Oryzias latipes: one gene and its partner. The main gene of each other region encodes a partner of the protein of the gene in region 2 in a complex. Links are inferred from orthologs where the notes say so. Each region holds a gene or a part of one and is shown on either strand. Other genes may lie near its edges.

The links.
Region 1: uxt (region 2) and ASNSD1 upstream open reading frame protein share a complex: the UniProt entries of both Homo sapiens proteins name them as parts of the PAQosome complex. The link is inferred for Oryzias latipes from reciprocal best matches to the Homo sapiens genes UXT and ASDURF.

What each region holds. Positions count from the first base shown.
Region 1 is NC_019879.2:16,669,373-16,679,098, reverse strand, and holds ASNSD1 upstream open reading frame protein, read right to left. Parts: upstream 5,431-9,726; 5' UTR 5,352-5,430; coding exon 5,271-5,351; intron 4,981-5,270; coding exon 4,927-4,980; intron 4,831-4,926; coding exon 4,755-4,830; intron 4,641-4,754; coding exon 4,600-4,640; 3' UTR 4,590-4,599; downstream 1-4,589. Other genes in the region: asnsd1 (asparagine synthetase domain-containing protein 1), read right to left, coding at 167-413, 2,877-3,058, 3,192-4,589.
Region 2 is NC_019865.2:33,763,629-33,773,664, reverse strand, and holds the start of uxt (protein UXT), read left to right. Parts: upstream 1-4,921; 5' UTR 4,922-5,044; coding exon 5,045-5,142; intron 5,143-10,036. Other genes in the region: cdk20 (cyclin-dependent kinase 20), read right to left, coding at 1,579-1,767, 3,981-4,094, 4,177-4,257. UniProt on the Homo sapiens protein: Involved in gene transcription regulation. Acts in concert with the corepressor URI1 to regulate androgen receptor AR-mediated transcription. Together with URI1, associates with chromatin to the NKX3-1 promoter region.

The DNA of each region.
Region 1 (9,726 bases), on a different chromosome or scaffold from region 2:
AACAAGAACAGAAAGTTTTGGACCATTTACAAAATAATAATAATTCTGTGCCCAAATAAAAATTGACTCACAAAAAAAGAATCATGAATGTAAATAATACTTTTAATGTTGGATGTAATATTTTCCAGCAAATATATTTTCAAATAAAAAATAAAATGTTCACAATCTAGTCGTAAAGCAGTCGTGTGCATTTGTCAGAAGCCTTTTCGTGGCCGTCTTCCATCTTTGCGATGCGAGAGCCAAACTGCATGGCTCTCTTGGGGAGGACGGCTGATTGGCCGAGGCCCAGCTGTTTAGCAGACAGTCTCAGGAGGAGCTTCTCCCCGACCCCCCGAGGGAGAGACAGATCAGCCTTCTCCCACACAGGCAAGGAGTTCAAGTAGTTCACCACTTCTTCATCCAAGTATGGAAACCTGTAGATACAGCAAATGTTATCACACAGAGTGACAATTATGCTATGATAACTGGAGACAACAGTGTTCACATAGATTCTATTTAACTGCTGATGCAGGTCATATACAGTTGTATTTATATAAAAAATGTAAATCAGCATGACAGACTTTTAAATTAAGTGGGAAACTTAAAAGTTCCAATTACGAACACAGAAAAATACCCAAGATAGATGTATCCAAACGGATACATCTGCTTTCTTTACTTATATCTAATCAAACTAGTTGGTCTTTCAGACCCTCATTTATTTTGTGAACATGGTTGTGTATCACTGGTAAATATGCAATCAGTTCAATTTTGATTCACAAGTTTTTGAGTCGTGTTAAAATATAGATTCAAAAACAATTTTATTTGGTAATAAAAAACAATGTTCAGATAACCAGTGATATAAACTGAATAATGGTGGAAGTTTTGTTAAAATCCTAATTACAATAAAAATGAACAAAGCAGTCTTAAACGACATTTTGAAAGCTAAACTGGAATATGGCCATATTCTCAGTGAACAGGTTTGTGATTATATACAAAAACGTAAACAAAAACAGTTTGAGCTCGGTGATAAAGCTGATTGTGTTCTTGCCAGACAACTCAAAGGTGTCCGGGCTGAAAGGGCAATTCTTAAACTAAACATCCTTTAATGGTGAAATAGTTACAGATCTACTTAGAATAAACAAAACATTTCATGATTTCTACAAAAACGTGTACACCTCAAAAGCTGGGTCCTCTAAGGAGGAAAAAAATCAGTTTTCTTAACAACCTTGACACGCCCACTTTAAGTGATACAGCAAGACAACACTTGGAAGCTGATTTCACGCTGGAAGAAGTTAAGTCTGACATCCATTCATTTCTAAACGACAAGGCTTGCGGACCTGACGGATTTGGGATAGATTTTCTTTTGTACAATTCGTATAGAATTATCAAGCAAATTAGGAAGGTACTCAGTCTGCCGGTCTTATCTATCCACGCTCCCATTTGCCTGAATCCAGCTTTTCAACCAGGTCTGTGAGAGCCTGCATTTACAGTCCGGGATAAAAAGGGCCTCTCATCCATTAAGGATCTCTACATCGACAATCATTTTGCACCCTTTAACCAACTGCAAAAAAAGTTCTCTCTCCCACCGGGTCATTTTTTCAGGTATTTGCAAATCAGACACTTTGTTAAACAAGCTATAACTCAGTTTCAACAACTGCCAACACAACCTATATTTGACAAAGTTTTGATTGAAGCGTCGACATCTAAAAATTTGATTTCAAATTTTGTCAGATGCTTTTATCGACCACCAACAACTGCTCATATTAAGATTGCATGGGCAGATGACATTGGAATAGACATCCCTATTGGTTTGTGGATAAGCGCTTTGAAAGGGATCAAGTCTTGTTCTATAAGTGCACATCTTAAACTCACACAGTTTAAAGTAATCCACGTTTGCATTACTCCAAAACAAGATTGCATACAATTTTTTCTTCTGTTTCACCAACCTGTGACCACTGTCAAACTGGTATAGGTTCTTTATCTCATTCATTTTACTCATGCCCTATGCTAACACATTTTTGGTCGGATATTTTTAAGTTGTTTAGTTCAGTTTACAATGTACAAATAACTCCCAATGTTCTGATTGCTCTGAACAACCAAATATTGCCAACTCAGAAGCTGTCCCACTCAACTCAACAAGCAGTCATGTTTGGAATGATTATAGCTAAGAAGATTATTCTGAAGGAGTGGAAGGCTTCTACTTCCCCTAGTTTCAGGGGCTAAAACCCAGCCTCTCATCTGATGACTATTGTTTACCTTCTTTTGCATTTTCGGGACGAATCCTTCTGTGTTGTTGCTGTATGTGGGTATTTATGCTGTGTTTCTCAATTGTACACTGGCGGCGTTTGTGTTGTGTGTGTTTAAAACTTTGTTAAAAAAGCAATCTTTTTTTTTTTTTTAAATGAACAAAGCCGTTTTTGCCTTAAAAAAATACAATAAATACTTAAAAGGAAACTAAATTCACAGATTTAATGAAGTTAGGATTCTTTTACATAAAGCTTAATTCAGTAATGTTCAACAATCATTTAAAATCCAGACCTATAATAAAAGCACTGGACATTATGGAATCTAGCAAGTTGTTATATGATCATGTCATGTTTCTCATATGCAAATATAACTAGGCTTGATTTAAAAGCATTCTTTCCCAAATAATAGTTTCTTTGATTTTTAAACAAGATGTTTAATATGTGACATTTTTAACATGAGTAGAATGCTATCATATTTATTGATTTGAACACAGAGGCTGCAAAATTAACAAATATGATACAATTTACTCTGCCAGAAAAACAGAAAAAAAATACAATCCCAAATGCGTGAACAAATGAACTATGAGTTATAGTAATTACACGTGAAAACCAAGTCTTTCCTGCCGGCGTGACCTTTGTTTCAACTCTTACCTAGCTTCTTTCCCATGATCTCCTATCACTCTGTCATCTCTGCCCAAGTTTCTGGATGATATTCTTGCCAGCTCCATGGCAAGTTCCTGAATCAGCCCTTCATGCCCAGACATTGAGAATCGTACTCTGTGTCTGGAGTAGCCTGCGAGCTGCTCATCTGCACCAATTCCTGTCAGAATTACCTGCAGGTGTAAAGAGGAAACACAAAATTTCTCTCCAACAGTCGTTTCAATCCATCATACTCCACACAGTAACCATAAACCACAACAGTGACAGATTAGTCAAGAGCAGGATTCAGAGTCTGATGTGTTTCACCTTAGCAGATGATGTGAAGGGTTTCTGCTCCTCCTCTTCTGTAATGACTCCTTTTCCTCTTGCTGCGAACCACACAGCACAGCCAATGCTATCATCTAGTACTGTATCCAGTGGATGAACTAAGTGGCAAATCCGCTCCTGTCGCATTTGTTGCAGCTCTTCTCGAGTTATGTTGATTTCAACAAAATTCCACTGTCGCTCAGGATTCAGGTCTTGTAATTCCTTGAGGCCAGCTTTCCCCGTTATCCTGTCCGGGACATCAAATGGACTGGACGACAGAGAACTGACCTGAACTGTCTCTGAATTGTTGGATTTATTTCTTTGTTTTTTGAGTTTCTTTTCAGGCTGCTTTTTTGGCTCTTTTAGTTTAAAGGCCACATTAAGAAGGTCTATTGGTTGATGAACAGGTACATGTTTGTCTGCTAAGACAGCGAGGATCATTGAATCAATGCCTCCTGAAAAGAGTATAGCAATGCTAGCCTGGCCACTGCTAAGAGGTAAATTATCTTTTGCCACAAAAGGCAACGAATGAACTCGTCGCCTCACCGCCTCACTCAGGACACCAATTAGACGGTTCACAACTTCAGTTTTCTCCTTGCTGATTAGAAACTCCTCTAGATTTCCTCCAGACACCTGTGAACTGGGATTAACTTCAACCTTTTTTTCTGGAATGGACATATTCAAAGGACAAACAGGTGAAGTGATTGATAAACCTGCTCGATTTATCTCAAAATTGCACCCACTAGGGACAGAGTTAACCATCATTTCACTCAATGATGGGTTTATGACATTTCTTGCCCAGGGAAAAAGCTCAAAGGACACAGAACCACTCTGTGCAGCTGCCTTTACATCAACCTTAAACACGCCAACAGCTGGGACTTCTTTCCAATCAGACTGACCCAGCGCAGAAATCCCAGCTGCCACTGAGGTCAAAGTGAAGACACTGATCTCGGCGTCATATTTCCACAGCAAGCTGCGCCTTCCAAAAAGGTCTCTCCCAAACCAGAGATAATCTTCAGCCTTTTGATAGAAAACAAATGCCCAAGGCCCTTGAATGGCAGACAGAAGTGCCAGAACCTCCAAAGAGTTTTTACAAGATGACAATTTCTGACAGATGACAGTGGTGTCATTCTCTTCTGGCATCACAGAAATCCCTCCAAAAACCTCTCCATTCCACATCAAGACATTTCCAGCGTCGTCTTGAAACGGCTGAAGAGTAAGGAGGCCTCTCATATGGAGAACATGGGCAGAAAATGAGCAGTGATAGCTCAAATCTACAGCAGGAAACGATAGCTCCCTGCTAGAGTTGGGGCCCCTTCTCTTCAGAAATTCATAAATTCTTTTGTCCTTCTCAAATTGAGCAGCTGACAAAGTCAACTGGAAAAAGATTCCACACATTGTTGCAGCTCTAAATATCCTGCAGTTCTTTTTTCAAGTAATCCAGTTCCTCTGCAAGAATAAAAATAAAAAAAGTTTTAAAAAAAAAAAGGTGAGTTATATTGTAGTATGGTACAACATTGTAAAAATTTCAATGCAAGAGGATAAATGAATACTAACACATACTTCTGCTTGTAGACAATGTTTGACTTCTGTCAGCCAGGAAGAAAATGTTGCTGTTTCTCTGTTGGATGTAAACTTTCTGAAGAAAAGAAAAAAAAAATCAATAAAAAATGAATTTATTACGACGGATGGATGGATTTATGGATGGATGGATGTAAAAAGGTAATTACCGTACCCTGTTCTTCTTTAGGTTAGAGAGTTCATCCACAACGACCTTTTGCTCTTTGATCTGGAAATTAGCAACAAGTTAACGTTAACAACCCTATGATGATGAAGCCATCAGGAGATGTATCCCATCATGTTAAGTTTTAATTTAAAGATCAGCAGTCCTTCATTTTTCCAGCAAACATGAGAAAATCGAAACTTATTAAAACAGTAAATACATACTATTGGTGCGTAAATACTAACAAAAGTATTGCTATTCGTTTTTCCGTTCTACTATACATGCTGAAAAAGGTGAATAAACATATCCGTGTTGTTTAGCCAGCTAACAGTAGCGCGTCTTTGATATAAAGTTACCTTTTTACTGAGTTCCTCTTTATATGTGGTTTGCTCTTGGGAATTATCGCTGTTATTGTATTTTTTTGAAGACATTTTCATAAAGGAGCCACGAGGGAAAACTTTTTATCTAATTTTTCTCTTAACAGCGTCTACTTCTGCGACAAACATGTCCGGATATGCGTCATAACCGTTCCGGGTGAAGAAATAGGTGGGGAGTTCGAAGCACACTGCCGCCTAGAGGCCAGATTTGTAAAACACCCGCTACACATCTCAGGGTCCGGGGCCTGCCAAATTATAGGTAACCAAGGGGTAAACACAGATTGAATAAGAATGTCTTTAAATAACAGATTTGATGTAATTTACTTTCTTAAGACTAAAAAAATAGTATTGGGCTACTACAAAAAAGTTTTTTAAACGGAATTGGGTTAAAATTTAATCAGCTAAGCAAGTTCGAGACAGAAGAAGTTAGACTTTTCTGTTTCTACCCGGTTTTAATTTTCATTTAAAGTGACACTTCCATATAAGAAAAAAGCAACAAAAAGAAACACTGATTAAATAAAATCAATTAAGCATAAATTAAATAATGAATCCATTGCACATCTGATATGTTGATCATTTTTGATCAGTTTTCAAAACCACCTGAAGCTATTAAGTAGTCTTTAAAAACACCCAATTAACTGTCTGTGTCTTGTTCCTTTTTTTCTTTTCCTTTTTTTTCTGACATCAGAGCCTCTGAAAGCTGCACCTTTGTTAACCCTACCCTTTACTTTAACCCCAGAAACACTTCTTAAAATATTGCTTTTGGGGGGAAATACACCTCCAGCCAATTGTTGCTAGGCTGGAACAGTATCTCTAGTTAAAAAAGTATTTTTTCATTGTTTACTTGTAAAACTAAACTAAAGTAGTGGCTGAAGACAAACCAACCTGCCTTGTCTTAAGATAATTTAGCTTTTTTATATTTTAGTTATAATATGACATGCTTTCATCTGCTGATGTTGAATCATCAAATTAAAAATAACACATGCAAGTGCATTTTTTCGGGGACTAAAGCTTTTTGTTGACTTGATCTGTCTGTAGACGAACAGATGCTTAACCCCCTTTAAAAGCAGTTTCAACCTAACCCCCACCTCCCTGCTCAAAGATCACACAACCAAAAAAAAATGAATGTTGAAATACCTGCTGAACTCTGCAGCTTATTTCAACCTTGTCTTTGCCTTTTTTCTTTTGAAGTCTCTCAGCATTTAAATAGCTTTTGCATACCTCATAGTTGTTTTGTTTTTTTTACTCTTCAGTTTGAGTCAAAACTGTGCCATGAAGCTCCTAAGATGGAGAGAAAGCTAAAATAGTATTTTTCCTTATTTATGCTGCTGGTGATCTATTATTATTGAAAAAAATAAAGTTTGCAGTTGTTGGTAGAGATCAACAGATGACACGAATGTGATTGATTTTTCTTCAGCAGTGGGTCAAACACCTTTTCAGTGCAAACACAACTGTTTCTAGGCAAACACACCTGTGTAAAGTTCTACATTGGTCTTAAACTGAATTGATTTAAAACAGTTTTCAACTGTTGGCTATTTCTTGTAGCATTTTGGACACAGTGAGCATGTCAAAAAGTGACCTTTGGTATTTATTTTTCTTTGGTGGAGTTGGCAGGCTCAGGGTCTTAGAGGTCTGAGGTACTGAGAGATATTCCCAGAAACAATAAGACCACAACAATATCATCCTTCTAAAATGGGTAAAGGTAATTATTATCATTGTTTCTGATGTTCCCAGTCACTTTGATGGTTATTTGTCTCAATGCAGACTTTCAAGAGCTTGCAGAAACCTCCAGGACAGCCTCCAGTCCTGCAACACATTTTTTTTTAAATCTTCAAAACCACTTTTCTTACAAGCTCTTTTGCAAAAGAGACTAAGGGTTCGGTCCAGGTGAGATTTTCCACGCTCCTTCTCGATCCCTTCTTTAGCCATGGCTTCAAGCATCAGGCCGCAGGAGCAGAGTCATATTTATATTTTTATTCTGGAGGGACAAATTTAGCCCACGTAAACACCGCTTGTTGTTCCAAAGCTGGGCTGTAGAAGGGGCAGACATACCTGCAGGTCACATGGCCACAAAATAACAGAGCAGCCGTCTAACCGCTGATGACAGCCACCTGAGACACCGGCCCACTAATAGTGTGGCTGGTAATCTGTTTGTACCAGCTCAATGTGCGCGGATTTTGAAAAGGATGAGAGTTTTCTGTGAACCCTGAATAGATCACAATGGGATTGGCATAGCTATTGTTACAACCTGACTCAGAATATATTCTTATGTTAGTGAAGGCTGCCGGTTTAGCTCCTTCATGCAATGAGACAGCAGACTAACTGCTTGGGGTCCAGGAAAAAATGCACCTGATTTCGTTTCACATGTCCAGAGTGTGGGTTTCACTTAAAACTACATATACATAAAACACAGCAGTGACATGCTGAATGGTTAATTACAGGAACAACAAAAGCAGCTGCAATTTTATAGTTATTTTGCTTTCTAAATTACATTATGCTATAATTCACAACCTGGGTGCTAACTTTGTATCAAGACAATCAATGGATGACACGGTTGTTGTCATGGAATCAGGGGTGTTCCTGCTCTCATCTAAAATCAACCATCATTTATTGTGCTGCAATTGAAGGGAGTATATTCATAGTTTCCATCAAAAAATTGACAAACATGTTTAAAAATCAGCAAAATCCTTTTGAGATTTTAGTTAAAGTTCCGCATTGTCATTTTCTCACTTGGCCTTTGTGGAGTTTCCTTAGTTAAAAATGAATATGTTGTCTTTAGCTGTCAGTTTTGAGGCCGGTGTAAACCTTTCAAATCATAAAAAAGTTTCCAAAACAGACTAGAGCCACATTGTTTTCATCAAATTTTTTTATGCTTACAAGTCTATAAATAGAAAAGAAAAGTTTAAACTTATGAGCTTTAAAGAATTTAAATCTTTTTTTTTTTATCAACTCATCATCTGAAAAACTTTCACCAAATTTGACAATTAACACAAACTTTGTAAATAACGTCCTCAATAAGTAAGTAGAAGAAAACAGAGTTTCGTCAAAGTTTGGTAAAGCCACTTTTTTGGTAAAAATTTGTTGGATCAATCTTGCAGAAGAAGAAAAAAGAAAAATCTAAAGCTTATTTGTGACCCTTTTTTAGGCCTAAAGCGCAGTAAAAATTTGACAGGGTGCATTTGTTTTGTGTTTGTTTGAGCATGCACACTGCAGAGAAAATCTATAAAAACTGGTCTGACCAGTTAAGAGATTTTGCGATTGTGGCCGTAAAGGTTAAACAAAACAATCCTAGATCCACACAAAAAACAAACACTAAACCAGTTTGAGAATTTTAAAGACATGATGAAAATGAATGGTACTTTTAAATAATCTTTATTTGCAACAAAAGCTTTAAAGATTTTTTTCAAACATTATATTCTTAGTTTTACATGTTAGAACAAAATTACTTTGACTGTTTTCTTTATTAAAAAAAATAGATTGTTGAGAGTTCCAGTGATATACTTGTGCAAAATTCTCCCAAAGTCTTCCCACAGCTTTCAGATAGGAGTCTGAGAAAGCCACTGCAATACTTCCACTTTGTATCCCTTTTTTGTTGAGTACTGGTGGCTGTGAGCCATTTAATGAGCATCGTTTTTCCACCAATGTCCACAAAAACTGGTTTGACATGATGTCTTTGAGCTGACAATGTCTGTAAAAATGTGCTGATGAGTGACAGCTGCAGTTCAGGGGGCAGACCTTTTTTCTGCCTGTCAGTCAGCTGTCGTTTCACCATGCCTTGATAATTATTGTGTAGGCATTTAAAAAAATAAGAGTTTGAGATTGCGTTTTTCCAAAATACTTTTGATGTCTTTTAGTTTCTTTAAAACACATTTTAAGTTTAAATAAAAAAAAAGCAAAAACTGCAGCTAAAAGGCTTTTGCGATTGTGTTGAATCAAGCTGAATTTTTTGAAAACAGTTTCACATTTTCAATCAAATTATGCTTTAGAGGTATATTCTTAGTCAGAAACACACCACTTATCCTATTTTTGTATTTCAGTACTGTCAAAAGTACGTGCAAGTTCTCCTAAAGTGAATAATATGAAAACCACAGAAAAGCAGCTGCTGGATGAAGCAAGACAATACTGTTCTGCGTCTGTGGGCAGATGTCATCACAGCCCACTAAAAGTCACAAAGACATCACTGCAGAATAGCCGTGAGGTTTTAGTGATGACATGAGGTAAGACAAGTCCAACTCAGCTGCAGAAAGCCCTTCAAAGTGCACAGATTGATTTGTGTAGTTCAAGTGTCAATTTATCCGACTGTTAACTACTCGTTATGTTTGAGTAAACAAAATGACTCTGAGATTACTTCCAGTAAATATTTTCATTGAGCCAGACCAAAACTGCTAAAATGCTTCTATGGTTTATCAAACAACATCAGATTTAAAAAGGTTTT
Region 2 (10,036 bases):
ATCTAACAATTAATACATTTTTCACCTTTTTCAATAAAGTATATTTTGCGAAAACGTGTAGATTTACCTCGTCTTTATAATTCACTTTTTCTGCTAGTCCTGTGTTCAGACTTCAAGGGTTTCTATGGGAAACCTTTTATCACTCTTCTCCTCCTCTCCCGCCTGCTTGCGCGGCTTTCACTGCCGAGCACCACGCGGCACGCGCTCACTCAATTTTTTTTTCAAACTTTATTGAATGTAACAATTCAATACTAAACAATGTTAAACGGCAACAACGAAGGAACAAGCCAGTGGGTTATTATTACATTTTAGGCAGATATATTTAAACTGACACACATATCAGCGCGCCCCCTGGTGGTTTTTCACCGCGATGATTATAAATCCAACACCGTCACTGAAGAGACACTGAAGCATGTCAGAGATGTGGAAGACATGGCAGGAATAGATAGGAATATGTTAGATGGAGTGACGGGTGGAATTAGTACTATGGACAGCAAGATATTTAATGAATGCATTGAAGATGAAACTGTATGCACTAAGCTTTAAGCTGAATGTCAAAGAATCAAAGGCAACTCAAAATACCTGAATCTCAGACTCAAACGGAGTATAATGTCAAAGTACTTAATTTTGTTTTTCTTTACAACACTGTAAGCAGTAAGTATTTCTAGTTAGCTGAATGATCTCAGTAATTTAATTGTATTTAATTTTTCAATTATTTAATTTAATTAGGTAACTAAAGTAACTAAAAAGTAAATGTAACTTTGCAACAGTAACAAAAAGCAGAACCTTAAGGCAGTCAGAGCAAAAAAGTCAATAAAACTTCTTAACTATTGATTAGGAACAAATGTGAAATAGCAGTGATTAGAGGCAGCATGAAAACTTCTTAACTAGTGTTAACTACTACACTGCAGTGCTCTCTTCAAAAAATCTGAAACAGACTAGAGCAGATTTGAGTTTGATATGGTCTATTTTCAGTCATTGAAAAGTGTATAAATAAGTGCTAGATGTCACCAGAATGCACCAAATTGCACCATATTAAAATTTTCCGGGGGCATGCACCCGGACCCCCCAAAAGTTGCAAGCACCTGCGGAGCGGCGGGTCTCGCTGTGGGCGGTGTCGGGCCAGTAACTTTCAAAAACTACTGGCCCTCTGGGCCAGTGCAAATTTCTGGGCTATGTCAACCCCTGATATGCCACAGTCAGTTCTGTTGTTTTGATTTTTTTTACACAAAAAAACCAAAGGGATAAAATAAGTTGACTTTGTATGAGTTAATGAACCTGATTGACCAAGACCAGACCAGAAAGGGTGACCGCAAAGAACCCGATAGCAACAAAGTGGCACGAAACAGCGGTCAACAGAAATAAACACCCCAAGATCTCCTCTCCTTCATTCCAACTGCAGGTGAGAAAGTGCTCATCTAGTATTCCACCCAGGGGTCGCTAATAAACAAATTAAGAAAGGTGAAACATGCAAAACTACTAAGTAGAAAAGGAAATGTGCAAATACACTACATTTTGGCTCCTTCCTTTACCAAGAGAAAAACCTGACTACCACGTTTTCTACACACAGGCACTCACCCGATGCATGATGTTGTTTTGGTGTAGAAAGGCCACACCCTTTAGCAACATCACCATGTAGCCTTTGACCTGTGCTGGGGTCAGATGTCGCTGGTGGTTTCTGATCACCTCAGAGAGATCTGACAGCATGAAGTTGAAGACCAGGACAAAGCCTGTGCCGTGAGGAAAGACGTCCTTCAACTTTACCACCTGAAAAAGGCAGACAGAGAGGCTTCACTCACCCACAACCTTTTCAAGTCAACACCAAAGTCCAGCTGACTAAAGGGTATTCCCTTCTCAGACCAATGACAAGCCTGGACAGCCTCCGTCAGGTCCCTGAGTCTGTCACCTTCATGGTCTCAGTCAGGTCTGTGGTCTCAGGTTGCCGAACACACGCATGTTGTTTGCACATCTTCACTTCACCACTGAAGAACTTGGTTTCCGCGTGTTAATATATGTGTTGATGTGCTTACTGGGATAGCTTATACTGTGATTTAGATTCAGAACAAGGTACAGTAGACGTAGCAGACTTTTGTGAGCCAACGGCGGCTTTCTCATGATTTGGATCGATATCACAGCTTCGTGAAAGGTACAAGATAAAATAGGTCCCCAAAACCACCGACTAAACATTGAGGAAACTTGATGAAATGCGCGACATTCGTCGTTGCAGACCCGAACCCCACACGTCACATTGTGACAAACAATTCCAGTCTCAGTTGGGTCCATGTTCTCTGTGAGGTCATTGGTCCTTGTTCCAAGTAAGTTTGTTGGTTTCTAGCCTCAGCATGGTCTATTGGGTCATTGATGTCCGTTAGGTCCAAGTCTTTATCAGATACTTTTTTTTGTCAGGTCATTGGTCTCTATCAGTTCCCTGCTCTCTGCCAGATCAGTGCTTTTTGTCGTGTCCCAGTCTCTAGCAGATCCTTAGTCTCTGTCAAATCCTGTTTTGTTCTTTTCTCTGATGCTGTTCTGCTGTATAGAACAATTCAGTACTGTACAGTTGTGGCCAAAAGTTTTGAGAATGACAGAAATATTAGTTCTCACAAAGTTTGCTGCAACACTGCTTTAGATCTTTGTTTCAGTTTTTTTGCTGCTTAAGTTTTTATAATAGAAATTTGCATATAATCAAGAATGTTATGAGTGATTAGATGAATTGCATAGTCCTTCTTTGCCATGAAAATTAACATCATCCCAAAAAAACCTCCCACATTCTCAAAACCTTTGGCCATGACTGTACAGTCAGTTGGAGAATGACTCAAATCGTAGTTTTCACAGAGTTAGCTGCTAACCTGCATTTAGATCTTTGTTTCAGTTTTCTCTGTAATATAACTGAAATAGAATTACAAGCACTTCATACGCTTCAAAGGCTTTTATCAACAATGACATCAGTATTTGCAGTGTTGGCCCTTCTTTTTCAGAACCTCTGCAGTTCCAGTGGACATGCTCTCTATCAACTTCCTGACTGATAGTAACCCATTCTTTCAGAATCACTTCTTGGAGTTTGTCAGAATTAGTGGGTTTTTGTTTGTCCAACCGCCTCTTGAGGATTGACCAAAAGATCTGAGGAGTTTCCAGGCCATGGACCCACAATTTCAACGTTTTGGTCCCAGAGCCACTTAGTTATCACTTTAGCCTTATGGCCCGGTGCTCCATGGTTCTGGAAAATGCATGTTTGTCACCAAAATGTTGTTGGAAGAAGTTATTGTTGGAGGGTGTTTTGGTACTATTCTTTATTCATGGCTGTGTTTTGGGCTGAATTGTGAGTGAGCCCCCTCCCCTGGATGGGAAACAACCCCACACATGAATGGTCTCAGGATGCTTTACTGTTGGCGTCACACAGGACTGATGGTAGCGCTCACCTTTTCTGCAGATTCCCCAAGCAATCAGAAATGTTTTTGGAGAGAAGTGGCGTCTCTCCAAAAATGTTCTTTATGATCCTATAAATTGTTGATTTAGATGCAATCTTAGTTGCCACAATACCCTCCCCTTTGAATCAATTTTTATGCAATACAGTGATGGCTGCACACGTTTCTTTGCAGGTTACCATGGTTACCAATGGAAGATTAATGATTCCAGGCATCACCCTCCTTTTAACATGTCAAGTCTGCCATTCTAACCCCATCAGCCTGACAGAATGATCTCCAGCCTGGTGCTCGTCAACATTGTCACCTGAGTTAACAAGACGATGAATGAAATGATCTCAGCTGGTTCTTTAATGACACCAATGAAATGCCGTGGAAAGAGTTTTGGGGGATTAAGTTCATTTTTATGGCAAAGAAGGACTATGCAATTCATCTGATCATCATAACATTATGGAGTATATGCAAAATGCTATTATATGTATTTAAGCAGCAATTATTTTCCAATTTCCAACAATATTTACGTCATTCTCCAAACCTTTGACCACGACTGTACACACTCACGTGCTGGTTGTCCTCAATCTCCTGCAGAGCCTTGATCTCCCTCAGAGCCTGATTGGGAATGCCGTCCTCCAGCTTCCTCAGAGCCACCTTCTTTAGAGCCACAGTTTCCCCGGTCTGTCAGAAACACGTTCATCCATCAGCCTGAATGATCACCTGTTCAGGTGTCTGTTTTTTCTGCTCCATGAACATGTTTCACCTGCACGTGCTTGGCCTTAAACACGATTCCGTGAGCCCCTTCTCCAATCCGGCCTAGGATGCTGTACTGCTCCATGATCATCCAGGACCCCTGCAGCTGCAGCGGGGATCTTTATGGACTTGGACTTGTTCCTTTACTTAACGGTTTTTAGTCCACGGGTTTTAAGAGCGGGGCTCCGGCGCGTCCAACCAAAATAAGCACGACATTTTGAACGGAACGAGACCGGAAGTGGGCGCTGATGTTGCCTCGGTCACATCTGATAAATAAAACTACGAAACTTTAGTATATCGTTGAATATTTAGTATAGTGCTGGATATTTACTTGATGCGTAAAGCTGATGACATGTACGCGACACCAAATGTGCGCTGTCCTTTGGCACTTGACGAGATATTTTGAAAACGTTTCAACTATAGTCAACGCAGCTCTCCGCCATGTTTGTTGACAGTGACGTCATCACAGGACAATCCAAATCAACGAAAATAAAACAACGAAGAAGAATAAATAAAATTAGCACAACCAGCCATTAAACAAAAACATATATATTTTAAAATTCATATTCACATAAGGTTTAACCCGGGAATTAGTTTATGAATAATTGCCACGTTCTATATATCTGGTAGAATATGGAAGAATAAATGTAAGTGAAAATGACCAAATAACAACTGTTTGCACAAAGTGCTTTAAACATAAAAAGAAATTAAATGTTCTTTTTTCTGCTCCTCTTCTACGCTGAAACCTGGAAGTATCTTGTCGGAGTACTTCCGGTTCAGAATCTTGTTTAGATGACTGCATGTGGGGCTGTGAACTTCTTTACAAGTGTCTGAGCTGAACCGGCCCGCAGAGCCCCCGCATTAGCCCCCCATCCCCGATGACTCCGCCCACAGACGCCGGTTCTGACTCGAGGATGGAAGAGAAGGTCCTTCAGTATGAAAGATTCATCGAGGAAGTTCTGAGGAGAGACCTGCGGTAAGCCCCTCTGGGTTCTGCTCCGGTTCTGAAAGTCCCCCTCTGATGAAAATCATGTTTTGTGACATTGTGGTATTTGTCTTATGAAATACAACAAATGGAATTAGACATGGTTTCATTTTTGCATTTCTGAGTGTTTCTCCTTTTAAACCGCTGTCAATCAAACTGTCTCAAAGACGCTCTGTTTGAACTAATGCGGTGTTGTGACGTCACAAAGGCCCAGGGGAGTATTCCAGAAAGCAGGTTATGCACCCACTATTGGAGAAAAATTGCCCCAGATATTGAATGGAAGAAAGTTTGGACTTTGTCCTCTAAATATTTTATTTCAAATAAACCCCGGGATGTTTGTTTTAAACTTCTTCACAGATGCTACCCAGCCAAATCCTCATTACACATAGACATTGATAAAAATTGCTCCTTTTGTAAATTAGACACTGAAACAATTATACATCTTTTCTGGAAATGCCCCCCAACAGCAATTTTTTGGAAAGACCTTACCTCCTTTGTTCGATGTTAAATTTATGAAAAATTTGATTTGGTATACAAGGATATATTATTTGGTTTTTATAGTGTTAATAATTCACTAAGAAGGGAATACTATTTAATTAACCTTTTGATAATACTAGCCAAATTCCACATACATAAATGCAAATTTTCTGAAAAAAAGCCCTTATTCAAACTTTTTATGATTGAGTTGAACCAATATATCAAAGCAATAAAACATTCTTCCAACCCCAAAGCTATAAGAACCTTTGACACCCTGGAATTTTTTTAAATGTACAGAATAGCAACTTACTGCTTTTTCTGCTCTTGTTTATAATTTTTTTTTTCTTCTTTCTTCTCCTTTGTTCTTTTGTTCCCCTGGCACATTTTGTTACTCTTTTTTTTTATCTGTGTACTTAAAATTTACTTGAATGAGTATCTTGTATATCTTCAATAAAGTTTATTAAAAAAAAAAAAAAAGAAAGCAGGTTATGCTAGCTCCCTCGGTACGTTTGAGGCTAAGGAAGTTGATAACCTCAGCTTTCAGTTCCAGAAATAGAGGTATGTTTCAGGTTATGTCAAGTTGCCATAGCAACTCATGCTCTGAACATAACCTGGTCTGGAGCAGGTTTAGTTGAAGGTTAGTTTGTTTACAGAGAGGTGAAGCAGCATGGCGTGTCCATTTGAAGATGATTTAGTGGATGAAGAAGCTCAGATAATACTTTTTACACCATGAGAGGGTGATAAGACCACATATGGATGTTGGAAAGATAAACTTTTTTACTTTGATCTAACTTCATTATTTGCTTCAGTTAAGATAAATAATTTTTTTCAGTTCAGTCAACTTAAAAATAACACATAGTTGTCAGACAGTTATTTTACTTTCATTCAAATTAATTCAATTGAGTAGGTGTAACTTTGGTGCTGCTGTTAGATCGGCACCGCAAGGGATTGTGGGATAGCATTCCCTTTGCCTGTCTGGACGGATTTGGGTTTAAGTGTGGCTTTTTGACCAAATGTGTTTAGTTGTTTAGCTGTTTTTATTGTGTTTTGCCCAGTTATTTGTCCTACTATGCTTAGGTCTCTGCACCATGAGGGAGAGGATGATGAGATTATATATATGTTATATATAGAGAGACCTGAAAGAAAACCTAAAGTTCAGGAGGTCAGAGCAGGCTGGCTCCCCATCCTGCAGCAGGTCTCTGTCTGGCCCCCAGCTCGCCTCCTGGGAGCCGCATAGTGAGATCAACCGCTCCAGCTCCATGGGCCCTGGGACAGACTGTCCAGGCTTTAGCCGCCTTTGTTCAACAGCAGCTGGTGTAGGTAGCATAACCATTCAGCCTGCAATAACCGTTTGGGGTCCTTTCGACTGAGGATGATGTCACATTACGGTAGCCCCACTTGGACAAACTACGTAGCGTGGAGATCTGCTCGGGCTCTACATATTCTCATTTCACGTTTCCTTTTATAACATAAAGTTCTTTTCCCTCTTAAGTTGTGTCTGACATTATTCTTTGTAGTGTTTATAGAGATTTTGCCACAACCCCCTTTGTAAAGATCTGTGGCTGCTAGAATGAACCTGCTGCTCCACAGAGTGAACCCTGTCTCTGAGCAGAGCAGCTGGAGTCTCGTAGCTTCGTGTTTACAGGCAGGGAAGCTGCTTTGTCATAGTGTGCGGTCTGGAGAAGGGTTCTGAACGCAGTCCATTCATCTGCAATGCACCTAATAATAATCATAATATTAAAAGCACGTTTAGAAGATAATGTCGCTCTGTGTCGGAGCTCTGTTTGTTTACAACGGACCGTATAATATCTTCTTCTATGGTAGTATTGTCATTTGTCCAGACCAATCACTACCTGACACGTCATTGGACCAACAGACAGTCATCACATAATGTGACGTCAGCACTAGTCGAAGGACCCTGAACGGTTGTTGCAGGCCGAACTGTTATGGTACCTACACTGGGACGGTACTGAAAAAAGTCCAGCGCTTGCCGGACTTATTTGGAAAATTGCAAGAGAATTGTTACTTTCTTTCTGGCCTTTCATTTGAATTGCTGTGCAAGTGAATTCAACAATCTGCATGTCGTTGCATCAAATCAGTGCTGCTTGCTGGTGCAATGTAAAATCTAAATTATAACGTCATTTAAAGCATTTTTCGCGTTCTTATCAAAGTTCTTTTTGGTGTGTAAGTTCATTAAACAGCAGGGTCTGCTACACACATTCATTCTGTCATTTTGTGCAAAAAGTGTCGATTTGGAACCTGTTACTTTTCACCGTTTCTTGATCAAAGAGAAACTTTTGGGACTGTAGAGACTGTCAGTCGGTGGTTTCAAGCTCTTCACTCATGATTTGATTTGATTTGATTAATTTCAATCATTGTAGTCAAAGAAATAAAGAAAATTTCACATATTTATCAAACTCATTACAGAAATGATAAAATGCATAGCTTAAAAAGACAAAAAGTTAAGTGGAGTTTGATTTATTGCTTGAAAAGAAGCGGGATGAAGAGGGTTTATATAACCCCACCCCTACTGAGTTAGTATATTTGATAGTTTTACAGTTTTTGAAATCCGGTTCTGATCAAATTATCATTTTTTTTTTTTAACTTGTCCTGTCCAACAGCTAGGCAGACAGATGAGAGCTGAGGGCCTCTTGTGTTGGACATAATTTACTTTAACAAGAGGGGTTATTAATCTTCAGACAAACCAAAGGTATGTCTGAATAAACCCCTTTTGTAATTGAGGCCAAACTTTATTAATTTCAATCATGTCTGAAAATCTTTGGTGTTGGACCGGACGGAAAAGGAAAGAGGGGAAGAAGAGAGAGGGACGTTAGAGAGAGGGGGGGTAGGGGGTGATAATAGGAGGGGAAGGGGGATAAGACCATGAAGCAGCATAAAGCAACAAGTTTACTGGTTGTTAATCATTATGGTAAGGTTCAAATGTAGAAAAAAAGAAAGAAAAAAAAGGGGCGGAGCCTGTCCACACACACACTCAAATGTTTTAAACACACCTGCTAGCTGCAGGTGTTCTTCTAAAATGGATGGTGGAACGTGAAAAGAAGGAGGGAGAGTGCCCAGCCATCCCCACCCCAAGACCCCCACCGCAGCAGCAGCGGCAGCCGGAATCCCCCCAACGCCACACGGGAACCGGCAGGGAACAACCGCCGCCCGGGCGACCAAGCCCGCCACCCAGGCCAGGGCCAGCAGGGCCGCCGCAAGGCCCCCAGAGCCAGAGGCCAGGGACGCACAGAGGAAAAGACAGCGCCGCCCCCGCCCAACCAGGAGAGCAGCCCCCCCGCCGCGCCGGGAGAACCCAACGCAGGGCCCCACCGGAGAAGGACGCCCACAGCCCCAAACGAGCACCCCACCACCACCCAGGAGTTCCGGGCATCCCCCCGCCCCAACCCCAGGTACGAGCCAGGACCCCCCAAGGGAGACCCGCTCCGCACTCCAGGCAGCCACCCGCCCGGTCCACGGTTGGTCCAGGGAGGAGCGAGGCAGGGGCCCGCCGCCCCCGCCCAGGAGGGGGGAACCCCGGGGAAAAAAGAGGGCCCACAAGGGGTGTTGTAAATATGGCCCGACCAGGCTCGGCCACAGTTGGAAATTTGGCGGGGCCCAGCACTCAGGAGCAAGGACCAGAACCCACCCCCCAGGGACCAGACACCCCCGGCTCAGATGTAATGTGAACCCCCCCACCGCGCGGAGAGAGCACCGCCGGGCCCAGGAAGCCGGCACCCCGGGGACACGGCCGCCGCTGCAAAGGGGCCCGTACCCCCCACCAGGGAAGAGGCAGGGGACAGACGGACCCAGGTCCCACCTTCCTTGCAAAATGTGTGTGCGTGTAGATGTGTTTGAAAGGGTGTGTGTGTGCATGTGGGTGTGTTTATGTTGGGATGTATATATTGAGGGGGGAGGGGTGTGTGTACTAAGGGGGGTGCGGTTAAAATTGGCGGGTAGGGCACTAAGGGGACATCTCCTGATTACTCACAGTGACGTCCCCTCACCCTCCCCACCAAGGGGCCCTAAATGTCTAAGGTGCGGTTAAAATTGGCGGGTAGGGTGCTAGGAGGACATCCGCTGCTTGCTGGCAGTGATGTCCAAGCACCCCCCCTACCAAGGGCCCTACATGTCTAAGGTGCAAATAAAACCGAAAGAGGGGGGGCCCACTCCATACGGCAACCACAGGAGGGGGGCCACTGCCTAGTAAACCCCCCCCCCAAGGCTCATCGCAGGCTAAGCCCCCCACCCCCTCACCCTATTATGAGGTTATATGAGGAAGGGGGTAAGTTGGGGACAGATGATAGACTGTCCCCCGGTGGTCAAACAGCTGTCCCCCGCCCCCCCCCCCCCCCCCAGCAAGGGGGCCAGGCCCACCCAGCCCCGGGGCCCCACCCCCGGAGGCGCAGAC